2 linked regions of the Tamandua tetradactyla genome follow. The protein of the gene in region 1 interacts with the protein of each later gene in a biochemical or structural test. Links are inferred from orthologs where the notes say so. Each region holds a gene or a part of one and is shown on either strand. Other genes may lie near its edges. The genes, in order: KLHL20 and DAPK1.

Region 1 (15,137 bases):
GCTCATATCCCGTGTATAGCCTGAAAACAAGTTGCAACTGTTTCAGTTTCAAGACATCTAACCACTGCTTATTAGATAAAATGAGAGTCAGTATTGAATGCCTTGACCCAGGAATCAAGGCGAGATGAAGGACAAACAGCCGTGCAAGCAAGCCTGCCTCCCTTTACACCAGGCAAGCAAAACCCTTCCTATAATACTCCTCACCAAATTCTGCTGACATTTCCTTGGGAGAATATGTCAGATGGCCATCCTGAAATTACAAGGAAGACTAAGAAATCAAGTACATATTTAATTTTGTACTGTCTATGGTAGAGGGAAGAAAGGATGAAGGGTCTGAGTGAACCAACCTACAGTGAATACTGCACCAGGGAAAAGCCAAATCAAGCAGGTATATTTAACACTATTTCTTTTTAAGCATACATTTTAGACTGACTAGAATAAAAAGGTAATCCGAGTGATAGGAGATCTGGTGTTTTTTGGAAGCTTTTTCTTTTGAAGTTGAACTCAGGGAACAGCTCATCTGATCTTCACTGTCATTGAAAAACTATCTATAAAAACTCTACATACAATTAAATAAACCAAGGTTCAAAGCACCTAAACTTTTTTTTTTTTTTAACTTTTTTTATTAGCACCTAAACTTTTAACCCATTTTAGAATCTTCACTGAGTCTTCCTCTTAGGTCGCACCTTAAACATTTCTGGTACTCCCTAAGGTTCTGTCCTTGGTATTCTTCTCTAGCCTACCCTGATTCATACCTACAGCTTTAAGACTTTTCTGTGTACTGATGACTCACAAACTTTTCATTCCCAGCCCAATGTTCTCTTCTGGCCCAAATCCATATTCCAATTACCTTTGGAGATGGAGAAGGAAAACGCCTCTCAGGGAGCTTCATGAAACAGGAAGCCAGGAGAGAAAGTAGCAGATGATGCCTTGCTCGCCATGTGCCTTTCCAGTCGAGAGAGAAACTGACTGTGTTCGCCATGTGCCTTTCCAGATGAGAGAGAAACCCTGACTATCATTGGCCTTCTTAAACCAAGGTATCTTTCCCTGGATGCCTTTGATTGGACATTTCTATAGGTTTGTTTTAATTGGACATTTTCTCAGCCTTAGAACTGTAAACTAGCAACTTATTAAATTCCCCTTTTTAAAAGCCATTCTGATTCTGGTATATTGCATCCCGGCAGCTAGCAAACTAGAATACCTAAAGGATAAAAAGTTCAAACTCTTCCCTATGGTTCCAGCCTTATTTTCCTTGACTTATTTCCCCCGCTTCTTAATTTTTTTTCCTGCTTCCCCTTTTTCCTTCCATATACCATATACACCAGATAAACTCTCCATTCCATGTGTCATGCAATCCTTGGGGTCCTTTTTTTTTTTTTTTTTTTCCACAAGTAGTTCTCTCTGCTTATGGTGTCCTTAATCAATTCCCCACTTTAGAAGTAAATTTTATTTTTTATGGAAGACCCAGCTTAAACATCACCATCTCTGTGAAGCTTTCCTTATCTCCACAGAGCAGAAGCTCCGTCATTGGTATTTACATTTCTATTAAAATCCTTTTCATCTTGTATTATAGTGTTTGTTTACATGTCTGTTTCCATCACTTCACAGGTAATATATTTAGTATAGTCTCAGGCATAGAGCACAGTGCTATAAAAATGTTTGGTGAATGAATAAACAGTCTAATAAAATAAAATACTTGTTTCTTATTTATATTTTTAAGGAAAGATGGAGGAATTATAATTCAAAATATTTTAGCATCTCTAAATGAAACAACTAAAAAATAATATCTTGCAAAACAGATATAGTCATGAGACTGTAGATTGGCACAACCTCTAAGGAGGGAAATTTGTTAGTATCACGTTAAAAATGCACTCTTTGGGCAATTCTGCATTTAAGAATTTATTCTATACTTACACATTTGGGCAAATAACTGCCTACAAAGATATCTGTTGTGGAACTGTTTATAACAGCAAAACATTTCAAATAACTTAAATGTCTGTCAAAAGGGACAGATTACATATGGTATCTACAACAATGGAACAATATATAAATATTAAAAAGAATAAGGCAGTCTATATATATTTGTCACAATCTACAAGATAAAATCATGAAGTGAAAAAAAATATGCATGATATGCTGACACTAGTGTTCTTTTTTTTTTTTACATGGGCAGGCACCGGGAATCGAACCCGGGTCCTCTGGCATCGCAGGCAAGCATTCTTGCCTGCTGAGCCACCGTGGCCCGCCCACTAGTGTTTCTTAAAAAGGGAAGATAGTCCATATATGCTTGTATACATATGACAATGCCTCTTAAAGAACGCATAAGAAACTCTTCAGTGGTTGCCTCTGGAGAGAGCTGGGGATTGGAGTCAGCATTTGGAAACTTATTTTTCATGGAATATTCCAATATACTTCTTTGGGGGGGTATTATATCTTTTATTTCTCTGGGAATACATTTTTAAAATGTCTTCTTTTACATCGTGAATTGTGCTGAGCTTCTTTGTGAGTATTCATTAAATTTTTAAAAATGTCATGAGATCTTTTGGTTATCCACTCATAAGTAAGAGTAAGGCATTAGAGATCTGATTGGAAGCTATGTACATATATAGGGCTGGCAATTAACGGGACACAATACAGTATTTTTCAAACTTCTAGGTACAAACCAATTAGTGGTTTGTAAAATCAATTTAATCAGTTACAACCAACTTTCCATTCCCCAGTCGGTTCCTATATGCTACAGAGAAATTATCATGAGCTCAGATAGGTAGGGAGCAGTTTCCATAGGACTGTCAAAACCAGGGTAATTGCTTTCTCATATGGGCCGTTCTAACACCAATAAAATTCTCATTTTATTCACCATTGCCTTTATTATTATTAATAATAATTACCACTGCCCTTTTCTAGATGCCCACAACCTATTTCTAGAATAAGCAAGAGAAGAATCATTACAGTAGTTTCCCACGTACAAAGGTCTTCCTGTGCCAATATATCTTTTAAATTCTGTATCACGTACATGCAATAATAGTTGTTTAAATAAATAAATGAATGTAATGAAGCTTTTATCTCTTTTTGTCCACAGTTCCCCTCACCCCCCGCCCAGGGGAAAAAAAGCCTGTAGATCAATTGTTTAGTTATTAAAAAAATTATTCAGTGGTAAGGTGCTAGAGATGCAAAGATACAGAAGACATATGGGATTCAAAGAGCTCACAGTCCAGTAGGGAGAATTTCTATGGAAAATGAGTTACTTCTCATTTAAAACTTCTTAAACAGCAACTGAGTATAAACCCAACATTACTTTGCAGAGACTTCCTCTGGCTGCAGCACTAAGAGAATGACAGCTCAACAAGGAAAGGGAAGGGAGTTGTGACAACAGGTAAAAGCAAATTAGAGAGCAATGGGAGGCCAGGCTCCGGTCAAGTGAAAAGATGATGAAGAAAGACCTGTAACTTAATGATTAATGGCACAAGAATTCTCCCATAGAATTCTGAATAATCAGGAGTATTATGTAATCAAGCAAGGAGAAAAAGAATAGACGAGTGATTAAACAAACCTTTCACATAGAAATTACTGACAAACCAAAAATATTCCCTTTTAAAAAGACAGTAAATTATCATTTTAGCAATTACATAAGGTATGACATTTATGGCAACTGAGGATGAGTAGTAGCAATTAGTGGGTTTTGCGATCATGTTAAACGTTAAAGGGATGAAACATTTAATATGAGTTGTTAATTTCTTCATGTAATTTGCTGTCAAATATTACTCTTATTAAAGAGGAAGACAGAAGTAAGATAATGGCATCTGTCATACCCATAACATCTTTCCACCTGGCCATTTCAAAGCATTTTCAAGCATTCATTAATTACAAATATCCTGGTAAGATAAACCAGAAAAGTAAACTAGGGCACAAAAAAGGTGAACAGTTCAAGGCCAATCAATAAATCAGTAACAGATTTGGAAAGAGATGTACATTCTGGTTTTCGCTCCTGGTTCTAAGCTACAAATCATTCTCCCATCAGTTACTTCTCTTACAAAAGTCTCCCACAGCTGTTTATCTTTAATGTCAAATAACAAGTAACATTACAATAAAAATGAAATGAGTTTAAGAAGTGAAACTTTGCTTTATGATTGTAGGGTTTGAAAGGAAAACATAGAACTGGATTGAATTCATTTCAATAAGGATTTTAGTATCACCTGCTAGAACAGAGGGAGAAAAAGTATCACTAAATTCTAGGTTGGGATGGGCCTATAATTGTCTATATGTTCCCACATATTCTATTTTCCTATGGACTAAATTTCATGTTCAATACATTTTTCAGTCCTTGAACAATCTGCCCTGCAATGCAGTTATTTCAATTAACAGAACAAATGTATTATAGAACACCAAAGAAATAACCAAAACCATAATCAGACATGCAGCACAGTGTATTACAAGTAATTATTATTCTTATATAGCAACAGAATTCTCTACATTCTATAGGGAGTGGAAGACTATTATAAACCTATAAAGCATTAGTACAGTTAATGATTCTTTATGACAAAAAAAAACCCACGCAGAAAGGAAAACTTAATGTTAAAAATTACATAAAAGTCAAAGCACTTTTTCAGCTTCAGATTATACTCTATTAAAAAGATATTAATTCCTGATACTACTTTTGATTTATTTTAGAACAAGAGCCATTAGTTTCAAGCAGAATTTAATGAGAGCTGAAAGTCATTTTTTTAAAATGAAGTCTGAATTATTACCTGCTGAATTCCAATAGTGAAACAGAAGGTTTTCTTCCTAAATGCCTACCTGCGCATTGGCTTTCCTTCCATGCACCATGAAAAGTACCCTTCAGCACACTCTAAAGCCGAACCTAAGACAATAGAAAAGCAGTAACTTAAAAACTATTTCTGACCTTTTCAGTAAAAAAACTATATATAAAAGTTTCATTCATTTCATTCGATGATAAAGAATTTTATCTCCTTTATACCTCAGGCCTTTTATGGACGTAAAATCATAACTGAATCCAGAAACTTTAAGACAATTCTATATCCTTACTCTGAATGCTAAAATGATTGCATGTGAAGGTGACGGAAGAAATAGTCCCGATAGCAAAGTTAGTCTTGTCTCTCTTCAAAAAGTGCTTGGACATGGTGATGAACACACAACTACACGATGATATTGTGAGCCACTGACTGTACACCATGTATGGACTGTATGTATGTGAAGATCTGTCAATAAAATTAAAAAAAAAAAAGTGCGTGGAAACATTTAACCGTGACCTCGCCATCAAGTGCATCTACAAAGCATTCACCGGATATCCTCAGCAGTTGCACCGTGAGAGATCGAGTAGGGGGCACGTTTGTTTAACAAGGGATCTGAAGGCTGTTAACTTGTCCAGAAGTGACAGGAGTGGGAGGAGACATTTAAAAAACAAACAAACAACTCCCTCCCGATTGTCCGGTTAGCTTAACAGCACAAGGAAAGTGTGGCTTCGGTCATAGATAATATCTTTACAAGCCCTTTCCTCCGTCCCCGAAATAACGCCCACCATCCACTTGGCAGAATCTCCAGGTCCCAGGGGTTAAATGGGACGCCCAACAGCCCTTTCCTTCCCCGGGTTTCCAACCACCGTTGTAGGAGAATAATTAGGGAGGAATCCCAGGGCACCCCTCGGCTTAGGGTGAGGGCTGACAGCCCGCGAGAGCGCAGTCTGATGCCCCGCAAGGCCCAGCCTCCCCACAGTTCCTCCTCGGCGCCGACTGACAGGCGATGGACAAGGCACGGCCCCGACCCTACCCGGCAGCCTGGTAACTTAGGACTGCAGATTTGCAAAGCGAGCCTCTTGGTGCTGTACATCGTATTCTACTCTAAGGCGGCTCACTTACCGGCTCTGATAAACTCTTCTCTTCTGCCGCAGCCTCCTCTGCTGCAACCTTCTCTACCTCCTCCTCACGCAGCCTTTCTGCCTCCCACTCTGCCAGCGCTTGTGCAGACAGGATGCCGCTCCTCAGAGCTAGTTCCTCCCCCGCCCCTGCGCAGGAGCAGGAAGTGTTCCTACTCCTAAAGCGTTCCCCTCCGGAACACACACATTCAGCCAAGAGGTTCTGGTGTGACTCCAGATGTAGTCGCGCCTTTTGCTGGGGATTTGGATAACGTCAGACTGCCTGTCCTCGTATTCACTTCCTTGTATGTTGAACTTGTCCATTTTGCGAGTTCACCGCCTGTCAGATTTTGGATACTGATGTTTCGTCCTGTCTTGTTTTCCCCAGAAGAAGGCAATTGGAAGATTGGAGTAGTAATGAAATAGTAGGAATTTTTATTCGTAGCTGGCAGGTTTCCTACTGGCACAATCTTGACCCTAAACGTGGGATTTGCATGTATCTATTGGGGCCCTACTATGTGCAAGATGCTGAGGATACACGGAAAAATCAGAAACAGACCCAGTGTTCCAGCATTCACACAATCCAGCTTTCTAGACACCAGGATTTTATCAGGACTCTTAAGGCCATGCTGGATTGACCTTTCAATTAGTATTTATCTGTCACTTCAACAAACACTTCTGTGGAGTCACTTTGATTTTAAGGGGAAAATCCTTTTTCAATTTGCTCATTGCCCCCAGATTTTCAGATAGCACACAGACATCTGCTTTACTATGTATTTAGTAAAACAGTTGTATCATTTGTTTACTATGTAACAAATGATACAACTGTGGGGTTATGGTTTCAAGCTTCTTGGTGAAAGGCTCTTCTTCGTTTCCTGATACCTATCTTAGGCTAAACATTAACATAAGCAGATATTTTTCAGCTGTTCTTCAAATGGTATCAACATAGATTTGTCCAATTGTTTCTGAAAGCATAAGATTACCTCTTGTTAATTAGCTTGCGGTGCAAATATATAGTCTTTAGATCAATGGGTTCAAAGTCCAGTCCTGTGTCTGATTAATTTTGTGATCTTGGACAAACTTCTTAATCTCTTAAGCATAGTTTCCTTTTACATAGAAGGGAAGTAATATCTTCTTAATGAATTTGTGGGAAGTAAATTAAAATGAATATCACGTTGTAAGTCTATTTAGTAGACACTCAACAAATGTCAGTTTTCACCTCTCCTATTCTATTTATTTAGATGTTTAGATGGGATCATTAATTAATTGAGCATATGTTGTTTGCCAGGTACTGTGCTAGGATTTGGGGATACAGTAGTGGACTACTGAGAACAGTAGCTTCCTTTCAGAGAGCTAACATGCTAGTGAACATTTATGTGGTTATGGTGATTGACTTCACAACAACTTTTCTATTATGAATATTTGGTCTAAACCAATCTTGTTAATCACATCTTCATACAAATGACCTAATATTGACCAACCAGAAATGAGGGGAAATATAATGGAAACTGCAGGGTAAGGATTCCTGGCTTTTGAGAAAGAGACACAAGGAGAGAGAGCCTCTTTTTTTTCCCTGGCCATTGTTCTGTCTGGATGTCATACTTGGAACTGCTGTAACCATTTTGCAACCATGAGGTAAAACAGAGGAGAATGAAGCTAGACAGTAACAATGGTAGAACAGAGAGGCTGAAAGAATGTGGATCCTTACGTGTCATTTTTGAACTACCCATATTTCCTTGCCCAGAAAGTTCCCTGTTGCTGAACTACTTATGTGAAATAATGAATTAATATTCAAAAGTGAGTTGGGATTGTAGACAGATGGTGAAGTAGGTAGTTCCAGGACTAAGTCCTTCTACCAGAACAGCTATGAACAAGGCATGAGCAGTATGAAACAACTATTCTGAAACTCCAGAGAGTAAAAGAACACTATACAGCATCCAGGACAGTGGGAGGGAAAAGGTTGGTAAATGATGATAAAGAAAAGTAAATTGCTATCTCTGTGTGGCACCTAAAGGTGCCCATCCTTCACACTCGTGGGAGGACACCAAGTGGTCCAATCCCTGGTTAAGTCACTGGTAACAGAAAGAGACATAAAAATCATTTCCCTAAGACCAGGGTTGGGCATGGCTAATCACTGATCATGACATTTGAGAAACAACTTTGGATCGCTGCGGGCTCTGCTCTGAGTGGATGAACACAAAAAAAATATTTATAAAAAATTGGGGTAAGCTCTTAAAGCTGCCACATTTAGTCTGGAGTTGTAAGTATTCTAGATTCTGAGGTGCTGTTCTATAAATCTATAACCCAGTATTTCCCTGGAAAATTGGGTTCTTGTGTGACGCCTAAGACTCAGAGTTGGAGTTCTGCAGTTCTGAAAGTCAACATTGCTACATACAACAGCTGTTAAAAAGCTAAAAAAGAATCTTCACAAAATGGGAGAAAATATTTGGAAACCACATATCCTCTTTAAAGAAAATATGCAAATGGAAAGAAAGCTCATGAAAAGATACTCAACATTATTAGCCAACAACAGTATGCATATCAAAACCAAAATGAGATGCCATTTCACACCTGTGATGGTTTGAAGCTGTTATTTACCTCAGAAAAGACCATATTCTTCTAGTTCATTCCTGTGTGTGCAGACCTATTGTAGGTGGGACCACAACTGAGATGTGACCCACCCCATTCAAGGTGGATCTTGATCCTTTTACTGAAGCCCTTTGTGAGTGGAAAAAAGACAGGAAAAGCCCAGAGATCTTAGAGAGAAAAGCCCTGGAGAAGCTGAGAGACAAAACACCTGTAGAAGCTGAGAGAACTACTGTAGGCCGGAGCTGAAAGCAATGAAACCCAAGAGGGAAGGACCAGCAGATTCCAGCCATGTAACTTCCCTGTGACAAAGGTGTCCCAGATGCTGGCAGACTTTCTTCAGAGAAGGCTCCTCCTGTTGATACCTTAATCTGTTTCTCAAATCTGTCCCCTGCATTCTACTACCATTCCAGCCATGTGATAAATAGGCCATTAGAAAATGAATAACACAGCTATTTCATAAAATGGGATTATTTTGTGGAAAAAGGCCATCTAAAATTAAATCAACATGAATCATATAAAAATGGGTACCATTTAAACCTATCATTGGGTTTACAACTTAACCAGAAGTTGAAGGCCTATAAATCTGGAGGTTTTCCAGGTTAATTTAATTAAGACTTTAGAGATGTTCTCAGATATGAAGAAATTCACATCTTCTACTAGAAGGCTAGTAGACAAGAATGGGACTTCTAAACATGCTGTGAGCATATTATTGAGGAAGAACATAGCAAACCCATTAGACGAGTTTCAGTCAGATACTGGATTCTTAAAACTGCAGATTCAGTGTAGTAGTGATAAATTCTTTGTTGATGATTACTACAGATCTTAGTTTTTCATGGTGTCATGAGACATCTGCGTATAATCTGGATTAGAGCCTCAGGTATTCATATAATCCTGAGTATCTTAGATTTAGAGAATTTACTTATTCTGAAGAGTTAGATTTCATCAAGGGTCAAAGGAGGAGTCACACATGTATACTGTCCTATACATGAATGTGGAGGAGAATTCCTAAGACAAGTGTTAATTCCAATTTTTTCATAGTGCACCATCGGCATCTTATTGGTCAAAATAATGCAGATATGGAACTACAACCCTACCAACATAGGGCGTGTGAGAAAAGTTTCTCTTATATATCTCTATTTGACAGCCAGTAGAGAACTTTCAAAATCTCTTTAAATGCAAACCTTAAAACAAAGGCCTTATGCAGAACTTGGATCTCCATAAGAACTAGGTAATTCACATGGAAAAGAAAGTTTACATAAGTTATGTCCATATAAGAGGATCAATATGAAAGAGAAACCATATCATTGCCAAAACTGTAAAAAAGCTTCAGCAACAAAACCACAATAGTCACCGAAGAATCTATTTCTGAACTACACCTCTTTAGTTTCTATGGTGTGCTCAAATTTCTGACAATTGGAGCCATTAAATGGTATAAAAAATATATTCAAAATACAAAAAAGATGTGTCCCAAATGATACCTAGTCAGGTCAAATCTTGTCCTGGTCAAAAAAAGATAGTTAATGATGATTTGTTATCTCCCGATTATGAAGAGTAAGTGCCACAAATACACATAAAATATTAAAGATGTGCCCAGCACGTAATAGGTGCTTAAAAATGTAACTAGTGGGAGGTCCTGACCAATCAAGATGGCAGAGTGAAAATTTCAGGGCTCTTTCCCACACTTCTTGCTCAAAAGAAATTTGAACAAGAAGTGGCAAAATATGTTTTTAAAAGCTCCAAAAGCAGTTAAAGGATTGTGTTAACAGGGTCAGTACTAAATCAAGAAAATCCCTCTTAAAAGTGGTAGGATCTCATGTGCCCTGGTTGGTCCTCCCCCCACCCCTTACTAGTTTGGTGCAGAGCCGGCCTGCACTCATAATGTGGGTCCCTGGTCCCAGTTTTGGAGGAAACAGAGTAACCCTTGTGTACATAATAGGAACATATATGTTAGTCCCTACCTGTCTGGTAGCAGCCTGAAAGACACACCATCTTAAAACTTGTCCTGCAGGTAGATTTGCTCAAAAAGCTAAAGGAAACTATAGATAAACTAAAGAAAATCAGGAAATGATAAATGAATAAAATGAGAATAGAGAGAAATTATAAAAAGGAACCAAATAGGAATTCTGGAGCTGAAAGGTACAGTAATTGAGATGAAACTTTCACTAGGGTGGTCCAACAGCAGATTTGTGAAGTCACAAGAAATAATCTGCAAATTTTGAGACAGAACAATTGAACTTATCCAGTCTGAGGAGAAGAAAGGAAAAAGAATGAAGAAAAGTGAACAGAGACTGAAAGACTAGAAGTACACCACCAAGTGAGTCAATATATGCATTATGGGTGTCCCAGAAGGAGAAGAGAGCAAGGGGTAGAAAGGATATTTGGAGAATAATGACTAAAAGCTATCTAAATTTTATTAAATATATGAATCTATATATCCAAGGTACCCAATGAACTCCAAGCAATATAAACTCAAAGAGATTTGTATGGAGACACATTATGGTCAAATTGTTGAAAGACAAAGACAAAGAGAGAATCTTGAAAGCAGCAAGAGAAGAATGACATATCATATGAAGGTAGCCTCAATAAGATTAAGAGCTGATTTCTAATTAGAAACTATGGAGGCCAGAAGGCAATGGGCTAACATTTAAAGTGCTGAAAGAAAAAAAGAAAACTGCTAACCAAGAGTTCTACATCTGAAAACTATTCTTCAAGAATGAAGGAGAAATCAAGACATTACCATACAAACAAAAGCTAAGGGAGTTTGTTACTAGCAGATCTGCTCTACACAAAATACTAGAGGAATTCTTCAGGCTGAAATTAAAGGACAATAGACAGTAACTTGAAGTAATATGAAGAAATATAGAACACTATTAAGGGTAGCTATATAGGTAAATCTGAAAATCAGTATTATATTCCAAATAAACACCAGTATTATTATACTCCCATGATGAGATGGCTTCAGTGGTGAATTCTACTAAATATTCCAAGAAGAATTAACACAAAACCTTGTTCAAACTCTTCCAAAAAATTGAAGAGGAGGAAACATTCCCTAATTCATTCTATGAGGTCAGCATTACTCTGATCGTGAAGCCAGCTAAAGACTCTACAAGAAAAGAAAATTACAAACCAATATCCTTTATGAATATAAATATAAATTCCTCAACAACATACTAGCAATCAAATTCAGCAGCACATTAAAATTATTATACACTGTGACCAAGTAAAATTTATCCCAGGAATGCAAGGACAGTTTAACATAAGAAAATCAGTCAACAGAGGCATACCTTGGAGGTTTTGAGGGCTTGGTTCCAGACCACCACAATAAAGCAAATATAGCATAAAGTAAGTCACATGAATTTTTTGATTTCCCAGGGCATATATAAATTATGTTTATACTGTACTGTAGTTTATTACATGTGAAGCAGCGTTATGTTTTTTTTTAAATGTACATATCTTAATTTAAAAATATTTTGTTGCTAAAACATGCTAACCACCATCTGAACCTTCAGAGAGTTGAGTCATAATCTTTTTGCTGGTGGAGGGTCTTGCCTCAATACTGATGGCTGCTGATTGATCAGGGTGGTGGTTGCTGAAGGTTGGGTGTCTTAAAATACCTAACAATGAAGTTTGATTGACTTTTCCTTTACAAAGGATTTCTCTGTAGCATGCATTGCTATTTTGTAGCATTTTACCCACCGTATAACTTCTTTCAAAATTAGACTATTCTCTCAAACCATGCCACTGCTTTATCAACTAAGTTCATACAACATTCTAAATACTTTGTTGTCATTTCAACAATGTGCAGTGGTTTTCATAGGAGTAGCTTCCATCCCAAGAAACTACTTTCTTTGCTCCTCGATAAGAAGCAACTCCTCATCCATTCAAGTTTTATAATGAGATTGCAGCAATTCAGTCACATCTTTAAGCTCCACTTCAAATTCTAGTTCTCCTGCTTTTTCCACCAGATTTGCACTTACTTCCTCCACTGAAGTTTTGAAACCCTCAAAATCATCCATGAGGGTTGGAATCAACTTTGTTCAAACCCCTGTTAACGTTGATATTTTGACTTCTTTCCATAAATCACAAATATTTTTAATGAATGGTGAATCATCTCCAGAAGGTTTTCAATTGACTTTGTCTAAATCCATCAGAGGAATCACTATCTATGGCACCTATAACTTCATGAAACATATTTCTTAAATAATAAGACTTGAAAATCAAAATTATTCCTTGATCCATGGGCTGCAGGATGGATGTCATGCTAGCAGGTATACAAACAATATCTCTCTGTATATTTCCATTAGTGCTCTTGGGTGACTAGGTGCATTGTCATTGAGCAGTAATAAAATTTTGAAAAGAATCTTTTTTCTGAGCAGGAGGTCTCAGCAGTGGGATTAAAATAGTAAATGATGTTGTAAACAGTTGTGTTGACACCCAGGCTTTGTTGTTCCATTTATAGAACATAGGCAGTATGGGTTTAGTATAATTCTTAAGGTCCCTAAGATTTTTGGAGAGATAAATGAGCACTGGATTCAACTTAAACAGTTGCATTAACCCCTAATGAGAGAGTCACCTTGTCCTTTGAAGCTTTGAAGGCAGGCATTATCTTCTCTTCTTCTAGCTATGAAAGTCCTAGATGGCATTCTCTTCCAACAGAAGGCTGTTTCATCTACAATGAAAATCTGTTGTTTAGTGTAGATACATTCATCAATTATCTTAGATCTTGGAAGACCTGCTGCAGCGTCTACATCAGCATTTGCTGCTTCATCTTACCCTTTTATGTTTCAGAGATGGCTTCTTTACTTAAATCCTATGAACCAACTTCTGTTAGCTTCAAACTTTTCTTCTGTAGCTTCTTCACCTCTCTTTAAGCCTTGAAAGAATTGAAGAGAGTTAGGACCTTGAACACTAGATTAGCTTTGAGAATGTTGTGGCTGGTTTGATCATCTATCCAGACCACTTACGCTTTCTCCATATCAGCAAAAAGGCTGTTTTGCTTTCTCATCATTATTGTGTTCCCTCCTACTAACACATTTAATTTCCTTCAAGAATCTTTCTTGTCTTTTAGCCTATTTTGGCTTTCAACTTGCCTTTGTCACTAAGCTTAATCATTTCTAGCTTTGGATTTCAAATGAGGAATGGGCAACTCTTCCTTTCACTTGACCACTAAGAAGTCACTGTAGGGTTATTAACTGGTATAATTTCAATATTGTTGTGTCTCAGGTAACAGGGAGGTGAGAGAGAGAAAGAGAGAGAGGGAGGGAGGGAGGGAGGGGGGAGGGAGGGAGGGAGGGAGGGAGAGAGAGAGAGAGAGAGAGAGAGAGAGAGAGAGAGAGAGAGAGAAAGAGAGAGAGAGAGAGAGGGAGAGAGAGAGATCTGCCAGTTGGTGGAACAGTTAGAACAGATACAACATTCATCAAAGAAGTTTGCTGTCTTATATGGGTGCGGTTTGTGACCCCTCAAAACAATTACAGTAAACAAAAAAGAGCACTGATCCCAGATCACCATAACAGATATAATAATGAAAAGTTTTTATCATTACTGGGTAAACTTGGTCCTTCTCTACTGTTTTTCATTGCCACCCTCCACCCCCACCCCATACCCTCTTTTTAATTTACTGTTTGTTTTGGATCCTAAATTCCTGAATCAGTAGGAATATGGTTTAAGATTTCCTTTCTCTTCTGCCATGTCTGGCACTTGTTAGGAAACTACTTAAAACAGGTGACAATGACCATACACCACAAGAAAAAGAGGACCAGAAAAAAATAGAAAATAAGCAAGCTGTTCATTATAATTACTATCTTCTGTTTGAAAGGCCTAAAATAAGATTAAGAAGGCCCGAGCAACTAATATGTACTCCTTATTTTAAAAAGCTTAAAATAAATATAAAGTATATTACAGAATATTAAAAACTAAAGACAGAACCGCATGCCATGATCCAAACACAACGTCTTAAATCTCGATGAGTTCCTTTAGGTTTTCTCCCCTCCCTTCCCGCGCTTTCTTTGCAGCAACTTTAAGCTTGGCGCGCAACCGGAATCGCCGCGCTGGGCGAGGCGCTGCAGCGCACTGCGTGCGACGTCGCCATGGTAACCGCGGAAGCCCGCAGTCCGGGGACCAGGAATCTGCGGATTTGGCGCTGGGTAGGCGGCGGGTCAGGTTGGGGTGCTGCGGCGGGGGCGGGGGACGGCTGGTATCCAACTAACTACCAGGCCCCTCCGGGCGGGGACTGCGGGATGGGGAGGACTGGGATCCAATCGCGGCGTTCTTTGGATGTGCATCCGCCGCGAGCCTTGCATACACTGTCCAAGCCCCGTGGGCACCCTTGGGAATCTCGTAAGGTCCCCCGGGGATTTAGGTCCTAAGAGCGAACTCCGGTGCCTGCAAGTGACCGGTACTGCCTCCGCGGGGCCTCCCTCGGCCTCCAGGTCGCATGGTTGCGTTGCTCCTTTCCGCACCGTTTCCTCAGGCCTTCTCTTTGTTTAACCCTGGAGGCCCAGGGCTGCCCTTGGGGACTGTCTCCTTCAGCTAGGACTTGAGACCTTTAAGAGAATACATTTTTTTGAAGATAAAATTCAAATGACTTAAAAGGCTCTTCACGATGCTCTTTCACAAGTTCACGCTGCTTTGCTTTAACTCCTTGCCTTTTATTTATTTTATTTCCATTATCCGGATTTCC
Region 2 (15,504 bases), on another chromosome or scaffold:
GCATCAATTCAGAAAAAGAAATAAAAAACAGAAAAACATTTCATATATCCCATAACCCTTACCACTCCCTTTCATTGACCACTAGCATTTTAATCTAGTAAATTTATTTTAACATTTGTTCCATCTAATATTTATTTTTAATCAATATGTTTTACTCACTTGTTGATAAGGTAGATAAAAGGAGCATCAGACACAAGGTTTTCACAATCACACAATCAGATTGTGAAAGCTATAGCATTATACAATTATCTTCAAGAAACATGGCTACTGGAACACAGCTCTACATTTTCAGGCAGTTCCCTCCAGCCTCTCTGTAACACCTTAACTAAAAAGGTGATATCTATTTTATGTGTAAGAATAACCTCCAGGATAATCTCTTGATTCTGTTTGGAATCTCTCAGCCATTGATACTTTATTTTGTCTCGTTTCATTCTTCCCCCTTTTTTGTCGAGAATGTTTTCTCAATCCCTTGGTGCTGAGTCCCAGCTTATTCTAGGACTTCTGTCCCACGCTGCCAGGAAAGCCCGCACCCCTGGAAGTCATGTCACACGTAGACAGGGGGAGATTTTGTCCATTTTTCAATTGAGTTGTATGTCTTTTTTGTTGTTGTGTTGAAGGGTCTCTTTATATATTCTAGATATGAAACTCTTATCAAATAAGTCATTTCTAAATATTTTCTCCCATTGTATAGACTGTTTTTTTTACTTCCATGATAAAGTAATCTGACATACAAAAGTTTTATATTTTGATGAGGTTTGGTGAGCTTTTAAGAATACCAATATTTTATCCCAGACCAATTAAAAGACTGTAGGTAGAGCCAGGAGCGAGGATCTTTTATAAGCTCCAGCTTTCCAGATGCGCATGTTAAGGCCAAAGCTGAGAACTGCCACTCTAGATCATGTAGAATCATCACTCTGGCGGCCCAGGCCCTTGCAGCCCAGCCTGCGGAGGTGAGCACCCTGACCAGCATCCCTGTTTGTGGACTGACCACAGTGGAGCAACTCCAAAGGTAGAGAGCCATCTGAGTCTGGGAGAAAAGGTAAGATGGAGGCTGCTTCCCCAGGTCTTGGGGTGGCCAGTTGACTGTTCCCGGGAGACAGTCTCTTTAGCCCTCTGTTTTCACCCACCCTAAGCCCTCATTCAGGAACAAAGCTGGCAGAAGTTGCCAGCAGATGCTTTTTTTTTTTAGAAATCATTCCATTCTACATATGCAATCAGTAATTCTTTTTTTTTTTTATTAATTAACGGAAAAAAAGAAATTAACCCAACATTTAGAAATCATACCATTCTACATATGCAATCAGTAATTCTTAACATCATCACATAGATGCATGATCATCGTTTCTTAGTACATTTGCATCGGTTTAGAAGAACTAGCAACACAACAGAAAAAGATATAGAATGTTAATATAGAGAAAAAAATACAAGTAATAATAATAGTAAAAAAAACAACAATAAAAACAAACAAACAAAAAAAAAACTATAGCTCAGTTGCAGCTTCATTCAGTGTTTTAACATGATTACTTTACAATTAGGTATTATTGTGCTGTCCATTTTTGAGTTTTTGTATCTAGTCCTGCAATCAGCAATTCTTAACATCATCACATAGATGCATGATCATCATTTCTTAGTACATTTGCATCGATTTAGGAAAAGAACTAGCAAAACAACAGAAAAAGATATAGAATGTTAATATAGAGAAAAAAATAAAAATAATAATAATAGTAAAAAAAAAGACACAAACAAACAGACAAACAAAAAAAAAACCTATAGCTCAGATGCAGCTTCATTCAGTGTTTTAACATGATTACTTTACAATTAGGTGTTATTGTGCTATCCATTTTTGAGTTTTTATATCTATTCCTGTTGCACAGTCTGTATCCCTTCAGCTCCAATTACCCATTATCTTACCCTGTTTCTAACTCCTGCTGAACTCTGTTACCAATGATATATTCCAAGTTTATTCTCGAATGTCGGTTCACATCAGTGGGACCATACAGTATTTGTCCTTTAGTTTTTGGCTAGACTCACTCAGCATAATGTTCTCTAGGTCCATCCATGTTATTACATGCTTCATAAGTTTATTTTGTCTTAAAGCTGCATAATATTCTATCATATGTATATACCACAGTTTGTTTAGCCACTCGTCTGTTGATGGACATTTTGGCTGTTTCCATCTCTTTGCAATTGTAAATACTGCTGCTATAATCACTGGTGTGCAAATGTCCGTTTGTGTCTTTGCCCTTAAGTCCTTTGAGTAGATACCTAGCAATGGTATTGCTGGGTCGTATGGCAATTCTATATTCAGTTTTTTGAGGAACCGCCAAACTGCCTTCCACAGTGGTTGCACCATTTGACATTCCCACCAACAGTGGATAAGTGTGCCTCTTTCTCCGCATCCTCTCCAGCACTTGTCATTTTCTGTTTTGTTGATAATGGCCATTCTGGTGGGTGTGAGATGATATCTCATTGTGGTTTTGATTTGCATTTCTCTAATGGCCAGGGACATTGGGCATCTCTTCATGTGCCTTTTGGCCATTTGTATTTCCTCTTCTGAGAGGTGTCTGTTCAAGTCTTTTTCCCATTTTGTAATTGGGTTGGCTGTCTTTTTGTTGTTGAGTTGGACAATCTCTTTATAAATTCTGGATACTAGACATTTATCTGATATGTCATTTCCAAATATTGTCTCCCATTGTGTAGGCTGTCTTTCTACTTTCTTGATGAAGTTCTTTGATGCACAAAAGTGTTTAATTTTGAGGAGCTCCCATTTATTTATTTCTTTCTTCAGTGCTCTTGCTTTAGGTTTAAGGTCCATAAAACCGCCTCCAATTGTAAGTTACATAAGATATCTCCCTACATTTTCCTCTAACTGTTTTATGGTCGTAGACCTAATGTTTAGATCTTTGATCCATTTTGAGTTAACTTTTGTATAGGGTGTGAGATACGGGTCTTCTTTCATTCTTTTGCATATGGATATCCAGTTCTCTAGGCATCATTCATTGAAGAGACTGTTCTGTCCCAGGTGAGTTGACTTGACTGCCTTATCAAAGATCAAATGTCCATAGATGAGAGGGTCTATATCTGAGCACTCTATTCGATTCCATTGGTCGATATATCTATCTTTATGCCAATACCATGCTGTTTTGACCACTGTGGCTTCATAATATGCCTTAAAGTCCGGCAGCGTGAGACCTCCAGCTTCGTTTTTTTCCCTCAAGATACTTTTAGCAATTCAGGACGCCCTGCCCTTCCAGATTAATTTGCTTATTGGTTTTTCTGTTTCTGAAAAATAAGTTGTTGGGATTTTGATTGGTATTGCATTGAATCTGTAAATCAATTAAGGTAGGATTGACATCTTAACTGTATTTAATCTTCCAATCCATGAACATGGTATGCCCTTCCATCTATTTACGTCTTCTATGATTTCTTTTAACAGTTTTTTGTAGTTTTCTTTATATAGGTTTTTTTGTCTGTTTAGTTAAATTTATTCCTAGGTATTTTATTCTTTTAGTTGCAATTGTAAATGGGATTCGTTTCTTGATTTCCCCCTCCGCTTGTTCATTACTAGTGTATAGAAATGCTACAGATTTTTGAATGTTGATCTTGCAACCTGCTACTTTGCTGTACTCATTTATTAGCTGTACTAGTTTTGTTGTGGATTTTTTCCAGGTTTTCAACGTATAGTATCATATCGTCTGCAAACAGTGATAGTTTTACTTCTTCCTTTCCAATTTTGATGCCTTGTATTTCTTTTTCTTGTCTAATTGCTCTGGCTAGAACCTCCAACACAATGTTGAATAATAGTGGTGATAATGGACATCCTTGTCTTGTTCCTGATCTTAGGGGGAAAGTTTTCAATTTTTCCCCATTGAAGATGATATTAGCTGTGGGTTTTTCATATATTCCCTCTATCATTTTAAGGAAGTTCCCTTGTATTCCTATCTTTTGAAGTGTTTTCAACAGGAAAGGATGTTAAATCTTGTCAAATGCCTTCTCTGCATCAATTGAGATGATCATGTGATTTTTCTGCTTTGATTTGTTGATGTGGTGTATTACATTAATTGATTTTCTTATGTTGAACCATCCTTGCATACCTGGGATGAATCCTACTTGGTCATGATGTATAACTCTTTTAATGTGTTGTTGGATTCGATTTGCTAGAATTTTGTTGAGGATTTTTGCATCTATATTCATTAGAGAGATTGGTCTGTAGTTTTCTTTTTTTGTAATATCTTTGCCTGGTCTTGGTATGAGGGTGATGTTGGCTTCCTAGAATGAATTAGGTAGCTTTCCCTCTGCTTCAATTTTTTTGAAGAGTTTAAGCAGAGTTGGTACTAATTCTTTCTGGAATGTTTGATAGAATTCACATGTGAAGCCGTCTGGTCCTGGACTTTTCTTTTTAGGAAGCTTTTGAATGACTGATTCAATTTCTTTACTTGTGATTGGTTTGTTGAGGTCATCTATTTCTTCTTGAGTCAAAGTTGGTTGTTCATGTCTTTCCAGGAACCCGTCCATTTCCTCTAAATTGTTGTATTTATTAGCGTAAAGTTGTTATTAGTGTAAAGTACCCTGTTATTACCTCCTTTATTTCTGTGAGGTCAGTAGTTATGTCTCCTCTTCCATTTCTGATCTTATTTATTTGCATCCCCTCTCTTCTTCTTTTTGTCAATCTTGCTAAGGGCCCATCAATCTTATTGATTTTCTCATAGAACCAACTTCTGGTCTTATTGATTTTCTCTATTGTTTTCATGTTTTCAATTTCATTTATTTCTGCTCTAATCTTTGTTATTTCTTTCCTTTTGCTTGCTTTGGGATTAGTTTGCTGTTCTTTCTCCAGTTCTTCCAAGTGGACAGTTAATTCCTGCATTTTTGCCTTTTCTTCTTTTCTGATAAAGGCATTTAGGGCAATAAATTTCCCTCTTAGCACTGCCTTTGCTGCGTCCCATAAGTTTTGATATGTTGTGTTTTCATTTTCATTCACCTCTAGGTATTTACTAATTTCTGTTGCAATTTCTTCTTTGACCCACTTGTTGTTTAAGAGTGTGTTGTTGAGCCTCCATGTATTTGTGAATTTTCTGGCACTCCGCCTATTATTGATTTCCAACTTCATTCCTTTATGATCCGAGAAAGTGTTGCATATGATTTCAATCTTTTTAAATTTTTTAAGACTTGCTTTGTGACCCAGTATATGGTCTATCTTTGAGAATGATCAATGAGCACTTGAGAAAAAGGTGTATCCTGCTGTTGTGGGATGTAATGTCCTATAAATGTCTGTTAAGTCTAGCTCATTTATAGTAATATTCAGATTCTCTATTTCTTTATTGATCCTCTGTCTAGATGTTCTGTCCATTGATGAGAGTGGTGAATTGAAGTCTCCAGCTATTATGGTATATGTGTCTATTTCCCTTTTCAGTGTTTGCAGTGTATTCCTCACGTATTTTGGGGCATTCTGGTTCGGTGCGCAAATATTTATGATTGTTATGTCTTCTTGTTTAATTGTTCCTTTTATTAGTATATAGTGTCCTTCTTTGTCTCTTTTAACTGTTTTACATTTGAAGTCTAACTTGTTGGATATTAGTATAGCCATTCCTGCTCTTTTCTGGTTGTTATTTGCATGAAATATCTTTTCCCAACCTTTCACTTTCAACGTATATATATCTTTGGGTCTAAGATGTGTTTCCTGTAGACAGCATATAGAAGGATCCTGTTTTTTAATCCATTCTGCCAGTCTATGTCTTTTGATTGGGGAATTCGGTCCATTAACATTTAGAGTTATTACTGTTTGGATAATATTTTCCTCTACCATTTTGCCTTTTGTATTATATATATCATATCTGACTTTCCTTCTTTCTACACTCTTCTCCATGCCTCTCTCTTCTGTCTTTTTGTATCTGACTCTAGTGCTCCCTTTAGTATTTCTTGCAGAGCTGGTCTCTTGGTCACAAATTCTCTCTGTGACTTTTTGTCTGAGAATGTTTTAATTTCTCCCTCATTTTTGAAGGACAATTTTGCTGGATATAGGAGTCTTGGTTGGCAGTTTTTCTCTTTTAGTAACTTAAATATATCATCCCACTGTCTTCTAGCTTCCATGGTTTCTGCTGAGAAATCTACACATAGTCTTATTGGGTTTCCCTTGTATGTGATGGATTGCTCCTCTCTCACTGCTTTCAAGATCCTCTCTTTCTCTTTGACCTCTGACATTCTAACTAGTAAGTGTCTTGGGGAACGCCTATTTGGGTCTAATCTCTTTGGGGAGCACTGCACTTCTTGAATCTGTAATTTTAGGTCTTTCATAAGAGTTGGGAAATTTTCAGTGATAATTTCTTCCATTAGTTTTTCTCCTCCTTTTCCCTTCTCTTCTCCTTCTGGGACACCCACAACATGTATATTTGTGCGATTCACATTGTCCTTGAGTTCCCTGATACCCTGTTCAAATTTTTCCATTCTTTTCCCAATAGTTTCTGTTTCTTTTTGCAGTTCAGATGTTCCATCCTCCAAATCACTAATTCTATCTTCTGTCTCTTTAAATCTATCATTGTAGGTATCCATTGTTTTTTTCCATCTTTTCTACTTTATCCTTCACTTCCATAAGCTCTGTGATTTGTTTTTTCAGTTTTTCTATTTCTTTTTGATCAGCCCATGTCTTCTTCATGTCCTCCCTCAATTTATCAATTTCGTTTTTGAAGAGGTTTTCCATTTCTGTTCGTATATTCAACATTAGTTGTTTCAGCTCCTGTATCTCATTTGAACTATTGGTTTGTTCCTTTGACTGGGCCATATTTTCAATTTTCTGAGCGTGATCCGTTATCTTCTGCTGGCGTCTGGGCATTTAGTCAGATTTCCCTGGGTGTTGGACCCCACAGGTTGAAAGATTTTTCTGTGAATCTCTGGGTTCTGTTTTTCTTATCCTGCCCAGTAGGTGGCGCTCGTGGCACACGTTTGTCTACGGGTTCCACCAGTAAAAGGTGCTGTGGGTCCTTTAACTCTGGAAAACTCTCACCGTAGGGGAGGTTCAGCAGCCGAAGCGTCTTGGAAGAGTGCCAGCCGGCCCGGGGGTCCGAACGCGGGGACGGTCGCTGGCCACTGCAGCACGGGAGAGCGCCCGACCGAATTTCCTTGTCTGCCCGGGGCGCCAAGCGTGGCGGGAGGCCGCCAGCCGTCGCAGCCCGGGAGAGTGCACTGTTCCCAGCTGGACCGGGGAGTCACGTGTTTGGAAGAGACCCCCCAGTCACCGTTCTCCGCAGTCTGGGGATTTCTGACCCAACTCTCTCAGTTGGTCCGGGGGGCCTCGCGTGGTGGGGGCGTCAGCCGCCGCGGCCCAAGGGGACCGCCTGCCCAATTCTGCCAGTTGGCCTGGGAAGGAGGAAGGGAGGGACTCCGGCCGCTTGGCGTCCCACCCAGGAAAGCCCGCGCCCCTCGGTGATCTCACCGGAGCTGGTTCTCCCAGATAGTCAGCCGTTCCAGGATGGGGTACGCCGTCCCTTTGATCTCCATCATGGCTCCGGGAGCTGCTCTGTATTGTCTCCACTCCCCTAGTAACTGTTCTGGAGGAGGAAAGGTGAGGGTGGCAAGGCTGTTGAGGCCGGTGGCGGAGGAGCCGGTGAAGGCGGAAGAGGGCACGGTGGTGGTTGGAGAGCAGCCGGAGCAGGAGGGGGAACCGGCAGACAAAGTGGGGAGAGAGGAGGGCCTTACCCTTCTTCTTTTTGGTCTTGGGTCTTAGCCTTAGGGGATTTCACATACTCCCAGGTCTGTAGCTCCCATGGTGTACACCAGACTTACCCCTCTATAACACACGTGCCCATCTCCACCTCAACATCTTCTAGATGCCCCAAAGCACCTCAAATCTCATGTCTTTAAGACTGACCTCACCTTCCTCCAAACCTCTTGTCCTCCTGTATTTCAGCTATAGGCAGCAATATCTGCCTTTTACTCAACCAAAACTGTGGGAGTCATCCTGACTCTGTCCTTTCCTCAGATACCAAGCCCTCTGATGCCTTTCCTCTTTAAAGCATTTCATTGCTTTTCTCTATCCATCTTCTCCAGGGATCTGCCAAATTATCCTTAATCAACCCTGGGCATCAGTGTCTCCAGAAAGAAGACCCCCATCTGCTGGGCACAATGGACAAGACTATCAATAGTGGAGAGTAGAGAAGTTAATAAGACTTTGGTTAATCTCTCCACTCTTAGCCAAATCCTGGACAAGGTGGGAAAGATCTTTCACCTTTCTTAACCTCTTGCCATTTCACTGCCTGGGCTCTAATTATTTATTGATGCCTATGTGAACCATTGTCTTTCGCATACCCAGGATTTTAACCTGGCTGTTTTTTCTGCCTAAATGCCAACTTCTCCAACTCCTACTGCTTTACAATTCACTACCCCATTGTCCATCATTTTATTCTGCTAACTCTTGATTGTCTTTCAAATTTTGGGCTAGGATGTCAGCTCCTCTAGAAATCTCCCTGAAACTCCACTCTCACCCCTACCTTCCATCTCCCATCTCTGGCCCTTACCCGAATTAAGTATCCTCTTTGGGTGCTTCCACAGCACTCTGGCATTCCTCTCTCATTAGGGTATAAGTCAGGATCCTACAGGAAAGAGGAGGCACACTCAAATTAGGATGGTTCATCCTAATGGAAGAATGTATGGAAGCCATAAGGGAATGAACTGGAACCCCAGGTTAGTAATACTAGAGTTGGCACCAACCTTAGGCCCAAAGAGACAGGAGGGTGGTTACCAAAGTTTGGAAAGAAAAATCATGTACAAAAGTCATCTTGCAAGGAATAGTGACCTTTGTTTGACATTGACCAAGGCAACCCTGCAGGGAGGAAAGCAGGGAAATAGCTAGCTTGATCTTACTCCCCTCCCTTCGACTTGACTTCATGCTGTGGCTCCCTATTGGCCAAACCTACCAGAAGCCAGAGGACAAGGGAATGAGTTAAAATTATCTTACAGGTCAGCATATAAATTGTCCATTTACTCATTGATTTCCCTAATTAGATTGGGTTTTCTGAGAAGAGAATGGTTTTTTTTTTTTTTCCAAATCTCTGCCTCCCTAGCATATAACATATACTAGGTATTCAATAATGGCCTGTTGATTGTATTGACTGAATAGTAAATGTAGTGAGTTGGGTGTTTCTTGAGTCTGTGCTTTCTGAGCTTGCCACTGTGATTTTTGGAATCCAGGGCAAAATGGGGAACAGAATGTCCTATATCATTTTCATTGTCTGATAGAAGGAAACATTATTTGGTCAGGAGAGACAAATGTGGGAGGAATCAGAAGCAGCCACATGACAGGCTACCTAAGAGGCACTCAACTGCATAATGGACTGTTGCTTCAGCAGTGAAACCACAGGTGCAGGAATATTCTTCAAGGACCACTTAAAAATATTAGCCCTTGATAAAAGCCTAAGGTATGTTTTAAAAAGTAACTTAGAAGCTAACATGGTCCACATTGGTTGCACTTAGATGATCTTGAAAAAAGAATGGTTAATCCTTAAACTTCAGGCTGTGTCCCTCTCCCTCAAATAACCTGAGGATTATTTTATTTTTGTTTTTTTATTTGTCCTTGAAAAAACGCTCTAAGTGCAATCCTTCCTGTATTTTCTCTTCTTTCCCCCCCTCAGCCACCAGATGAAAAGAATCCAACTGGGAACTACAGATGCCCTGGGGGACAATAGATCCAGCAAGTAGTTGTGCCCCTGAATGACTGCATGGAGCAGAGAGCAGACCCCCCTTCCCACCCCCAGCAAACATCTGTGCTGAGGTACTGAAATAAACCTGTAATATGCTAAGCTTCTGAGATTTGGGAGGTTGGTAGCAGCTAGTTACTTAACCCTGACTGATATAACTGTAAGATTATTTTTGAAAATCTGCACTTGAGTCTGTTTCAAATGCTATCACCATGATTATCATAATCCATAATCCATATCATAATCACATTTTATGTAGGAACTTTCCACCTTGAATCTCATAACTTGAGGATTATTTTATTTTTGGTTTTTTGTTTGAGAGATGTGCCCCAGAACCTTTTTTTGCTGGAATATGATAGAAAATATAATAATACCCAGTATTCTGATGTATTTTACAATGAACAAAGCACTGTCTTATGTATTATCTATTTAGTTTCTCCCAACAAGTTGGAGGAATATACAGGAGAAGGATTATTGCCCCCATTCTGCAGGTGATGAAACTGAGACTAAGAGGTTTAAGGCTTAAATGGAAATGACAACTAATTTACAGGGTTATTTGAAGATCAGTTGGGAGAATTAGTCTGCCTGGCACCCAATTTGTGTTGAGAGTTAAGTTTCCTGTTTCAGTTATCTATTGCTGTGTAGGAAACCACCCAAAACAATGGCTTAAAACAAAACAATAATTTATTTTATTTACAGAACATGGACTGTGAAAATGCAAATAACTGGGAGTGTGGGGGAGGGGACACGAATAGCTGGGGGGTTCCTCTTTTTCTCTGTAGTTTCTTCACATGGTGCCCCAGGGAAACAGTAGTTCTTGGCAGCTGAAGGAGACAGACAGTGGAGACAGATTCAGAGAGGGAGAGAGAGACTTCTAACACCTGATGACCTAGTCTTGTGTCACTTCCACCACATTTTCAAGCTGCTAAGTCCAGGCCATATTCATGGGAAGGGGAATTAGACTACTTCTGTTTCCAGGAGTGTCAAATTATTTGCAGACAAGTTTTTAAACTACCACATTTCCCCTCTCCAAAATGCTTGCCTAAATAAGTGCAGATACAAAGCTCAGGGGTAAGTGACTCATCCAAAGTCATTTAGCTGTTCATTGGTTTCATGAGACTAGAACCAATTTTTGTAGCTCCAAATTCCATGCTCTTTTTCTCTACCTTAGAATATCTCCCGTGATTGCACTCTCTAATAGGGCAGGTAAGATACACTGCACCCTGAAACAAGCACCCAAACTCATACAATCCTTTTGATTGCCAGGCAAAACACACATATTTCTTTTGCAAGAAAAATATTACCCATAAAGCCATCATGTGTAAGCACTTCCCAAATTTCTCCCAAACATCTGTGTTTTTTATTTTTTCCCCAACAGATGTATTCATTTGCATTTTTCCCAGATGAATCACTTATTTTGTTATTTTTTGACTGCATTTCTCACCTCTCAAGATCCTTTTGTGTTAATCCTCAAACCCACCGCTTAGGTTAATACCAGCTCCCAATTTGGACCCTTCCCCCAATTCCATTATTAGGCTCAATCTCAGGCCACTCCTGAGGGCCTTCAAATGAAATATTCCTTAAGTAATCTTCAAGACTACTGACCTAAGGCCTGAGAGCATTCTTTAGTTTTGTTGGTTTTAAAGCAGCCCAAATCTCCACAGTTCAAAATTTCTGTTAAACCGAAGAGATTTTAAACGAACCCATTTTAGAAAACCTGGGAATTTGAACATTATATGGATCTGAATTCTCAGAGGGGTTATCGTATGAGTTTTTGTATTTATTGGATATAAAATAAATTTCTTTTTAGGAACTTTCCTCTATTTGGGGATCCCCTAGATGTCCCTGACAGAAATATCCTTTCTGCTTTCCCCGCCCATAGGCTTGGTGGGAGACTGGGATAAGAAGTACAGAAGAAAATGGATAACTGGTCTCCAGTGGTTATGGGATCCCTGTGCAGATTAGAATAACCCAAAAGAAATAAGATACAAGTCACATATATACAATTAAATTTTCTGGTAGCCACCTTTTTAAAAAATACAAAGGAACAAATGAATAGATTTAAATAACGATTTTATTTAACCCAATATTATCATTTCAACAAGAAATCAATTTTAAAAATTTAACGAGATATTTCGCAGTCTAATTTCCATATTGCATCTTTGAAATTGAAGCTTATTTTGCACTTTCAGCACATCTCAACGGAGACTAACCACATTGCAACTGGTCAATAGCCAATATCATATTGGGCCACACTAGAAGACCCTTCAGTTCCTGCTGTTTCGCTGGGCCTCTGGGACCCCAATCCTTTCTTCTTTGATTGCACATCTTCTTACTGTTCAGAACTTAACTCAAAAACACTGTCCTGGAGAAGACCCTGCCTAATGATCTAAGGTATTCTCCAAACCCCTCACCCCTTCACTGTCATTCTCTGTCCGGTTAACCTTGATTTCATGGAATTTGTCTTTTCTCAAGTGATCTTATTTGCTTGCATATTTATTGTTTATCGTCTCCGTGAATAGAAGTTTCACGAGGGCAGAAATTTTATTATTATTATTTTTATTTTTAACTATTTTATTCTCAGAGATTTCGCTGTTCCGAACACCGTGCCTGACACACAGGGCTCTCAGGACACTTTTGCTGAACCACCGAATCTCATTTTTCTAGAACTTAGCCGGAGGGGGCAACTCCGCCGCGGGTCACAGGTGGGACGCCCGCTCCCCCTCCCCGGCGTGCGTGTGGGGTGAGTGGGTGTGCGCGGGGGTGTACGCGGTAGAGCGCGCCAGCGAGCCGGGAGCGCGGAGCTGGGTGTAGCAGCCAGCGCCGCGCAGAACCAGCAGCGCCCGCCGGGCCAGGCAGCTCGGAGGTGGGTGGGCCGCGCGCCGCCAGCCCGCCCGCGGGGTCCCCATTGGCCGCCTGCCGGCCGCCCTCCACCCGGGAGGTGGCCAGGAGCCGAAGCCTCTCCGGACCCCGAGCGGGAAAGCCCGGCCGAGGCGACGCCAGGGACATTGTTCCCGCCGCGGAGGGGGCACGGCGACCCTCGCAGCTGCCGGGATCTGGAGCCAGCGCCCGTGCGGACGCGCGGGGTCCGCTGCCTCCGACTCGGTTCCTCCCTCGGCTCTCGTCGCCACCCTGCTGGTCTCCGGCGCTGGCGCCTATGGTCGGCCTCCGACAGCGCTCCGGAGGGACCCCAGGAGCTCCCGGGCGCCCGGGTGAGTGGCCGCGCGCGACTCCCCGGGCTCCTCCCCGGCCCCAACGCCTGCTTTTGCCATCGCGATCGCCGCGCGGCGGGGCTTTCCAGGGCAGCGCCTCTGCAAGGGGAAGGCCAGGGCGGGGTAAACTTGGCTGCGGGGAGAAGTGGGATCGCCGACGGGAGGCGCTCCAACCTGGCGGCCCGGGTCGGAACAGGTGGCGCGGGGCCGGGCCGGGCGCTTTGTGTCCCGGCGAGGGGACTGGAGCGGGCGGCGGCGCCTCCCTCGGCGGCTCTCTTCCCTCCCTTGCTCCCCCGGGCGGCCGCACGCCGGGTCGGCCGGGTAACGGAGAGGGAGTCGCCAGGAATGTGCCTCCGGGGACTGCCTGGCTCGTGAGGAGGGAAGGAGGTAAAGGGGGAGGGGTGGCCGGAGAGGTGCGGGAGCCCAGAGGTGGCGCGGGGGCTGCCACAGCCGCTGCGGGCTGGAGAAGGATGCTTCTAACGAGGCGCATGCCGCCCGGGCGAGGGCTTCCTTCTTCCGCGGCGCCCCTGGAGGTGGGGAGCTGGGTGGGCGTGTGTGCAGAGAAAGGGGGAGGCGGGGAAGCCAGTCCCTTCCGGAGCCGGTTCTGATCCTTGCCGCCCGTCCGCTTTCGAGGATGCGGACCTTGGGGTGCGGTTGTGCCGGGCCCTACGCGCGCGCGGGCGACGCAGGGCTGGGGGGCGCCCCTGACTCGGGTTTAACAAAGGGTGCGCCTCTTCACTAGGCGGGGAGGGGTAGCTTGGTGTCTCCTGCACACCCCCAGCTGGAGACGTGGCCTTCAGCGAGCGAGTCCTAGCCCTGGGAATGTCTACTTCCTTTTTTGGGTTGATATTTTATTATTCTTGCCTTTTTTTTTTTTAAAGGCCTGGAGACTGATGCATGAGGGCCCTACGGAGGCGCAGGAGCGGTGGTGATGGTTTGGGAAGTGGAGCTGAAGTGCGCCGGACTTTGGTGAGGCGTGACAGTTTATCATGACCGTGTTCAGGCAGGAAAACGTGGATGATTACTACGACACCGGCGAGGAACTTGGCAGGTACGAGGGGTGTCAGAAGCGAACACAACTGGATTGTGAGAGTGCATAATATTGGGGGCGGTACACAAATCCAGTTTGCATCAGGCATCTCCCTCGCGCTTCCAGGAGATGGGCAAATTATATAGAGAAGAGTTGCTAACCCAGCGAGGACCTGGGGCTAGAAATAAACCACCTCATCCTAAAAATGTGGGGTAGGGGCGAGGCAATTCAGGGCTAGATTATGATGCAAAGTCTGTTATTGATCAGAACCCTGGGACCAGAGCAGATTAATCGTCTGCAGGAACTCTTCTCAGTTTTTTACCCTTCTGAGACAATGAGGCAAAAGCTAAGATTATAATTGCCACTGTAGGTAGTGACTGGTTATATGTGATTTAAAGAGAGTGCACACGAATTAGTAGAATTTTAAAATCTCCATGCATCTCTTCTCTGAGTTGACACAGTGACAAGAACAAGTATTGGTAGGCTGTAAATGGACACTTGCCAGATGCTGAAGTTGGCTTTGGGTTTTGAAACTTCTTCAATCCAGGAATTTAATTATCTGTTGGTGTTAGTGGTTGGATTGGCTTCGTTTACAATATTAAAATTTTAACAAATCAGAGTCTAATATGGCTTTCTGGATTCTGCGCCTGTTGGATTGCTGTAGAAGCTGTGATTCTGGCTGTTTAAGTCTTTCAGTTTGTAGGTGAACAAAGAATGATTTATTTGAGGGGTGTCCTTTTGCATTTGTTGTCTTGAAGTTGAGGATCAGATCAGAAGATTTATAAGAACTGAGTCATGTTTCACCGAGTTCCCCTCTGGGTCTTTCAAAGATTGTTGAGTTCCAGTCTACTTTAGCAGAAAAGCCAATTTTCATACCTACATTTAAAATCCAAAATATGGAATTTGTGATACATTTGCCAGAAGTTTGTGTGCTTACTTATGCATGTACAGAAATAATTATTTTTCCATACACATCTGATGTCCCGATACAAAGTTTCCTTTTTTCTTCATGAGAAGGAAATTAAAAAACTTCCACATCTTAGATTACCCGAGAAATATTAAAATTGAGCTTAATTCAATTAAAAAATAAATTCAAATCACAGGGCAACGTGAAAGCAATTTTTAAAAAGTTATTATAGCAGTATTTCTGCGTATGTTTAGTATTGACTCAAAACATGGGGACTCAGTGAGTAAATGAGTAAGAAGGAAAATCATATTTCATGGGTATGTTTAGGTTTGAAGTTGAAGGGTATGTGGTTAAAATACTTGGCTTAACTAGAAGTGAATCACTTTATTCTGGTGGTTTTTAGCAAGAAGACTGATATATGGAGTTTTCCTTGAGGAAAAAAGTGAAAAAAACATTCTAATTCAGTTTGTATTCTGTGGCCCGATTATATGAGATCTATTGTTAAAAGAGATGATTAAACAACTAATCGTGGTGCTATGCTTTGAAATTTGTAGCTTTTTTGTACAAATGTTATTGTTCATGAAAAAAGAAGGAAAAAAAGTCGATTGTGATAAAAAGTATTTAAGTCCTCTAGCTTCCTATAGGAGCAGCTAGAAGGAAAAATAT

What was found.
Region 2: the proteins of KLHL20 (region 1) and DAPK1 are reported together in a solved structure, tested with the Homo sapiens proteins (2 studies listed by BioGRID and IntAct, with this or other methods). The link is inferred for Tamandua tetradactyla from reciprocal best matches to the Homo sapiens genes KLHL20 and DAPK1.

Annotation. Positions count from the first base shown.
Region 1 is NC_135330.1:27,514,470-27,529,606, reverse strand, and holds the start of KLHL20 (kelch-like protein 20), read right to left. Parts: upstream 6,014-15,137; 5' UTR 5,874-6,013; intron 4,859-5,873; 5' UTR 4,818-4,858; coding exon 4,795-4,817; intron 1-4,794. Other genes in the region: ANKRD45 (ankyrin repeat domain-containing protein 45), read left to right, coding at 14,545-14,601. UniProt on the Homo sapiens protein: Substrate-specific adapter of a BCR (BTB-CUL3-RBX1) E3 ubiquitin-protein ligase complex involved in interferon response and anterograde Golgi to endosome transport.
Region 2 is NC_135328.1:120,790,637-120,806,140, forward strand, and holds the start of DAPK1 (death-associated protein kinase 1), read left to right. Parts: upstream 1-9,623; 5' UTR 9,624-9,763; intron 9,764-11,881; 5' UTR 11,882-12,083; intron 12,084-12,646; exon of another isoform or gene 12,647-12,901; intron 12,902-13,136; exon of another isoform or gene 13,137-13,288; intron 13,289-13,319; exon of another isoform or gene 13,320-13,434; intron 13,435-13,495; exon of another isoform or gene 13,496-13,626; intron 13,627-13,782; 5' UTR 13,783-13,890; coding exon 13,891-13,952; intron 13,953-15,504. UniProt on the Homo sapiens protein: Calcium/calmodulin-dependent serine/threonine kinase involved in multiple cellular signaling pathways that trigger cell survival, apoptosis, and autophagy.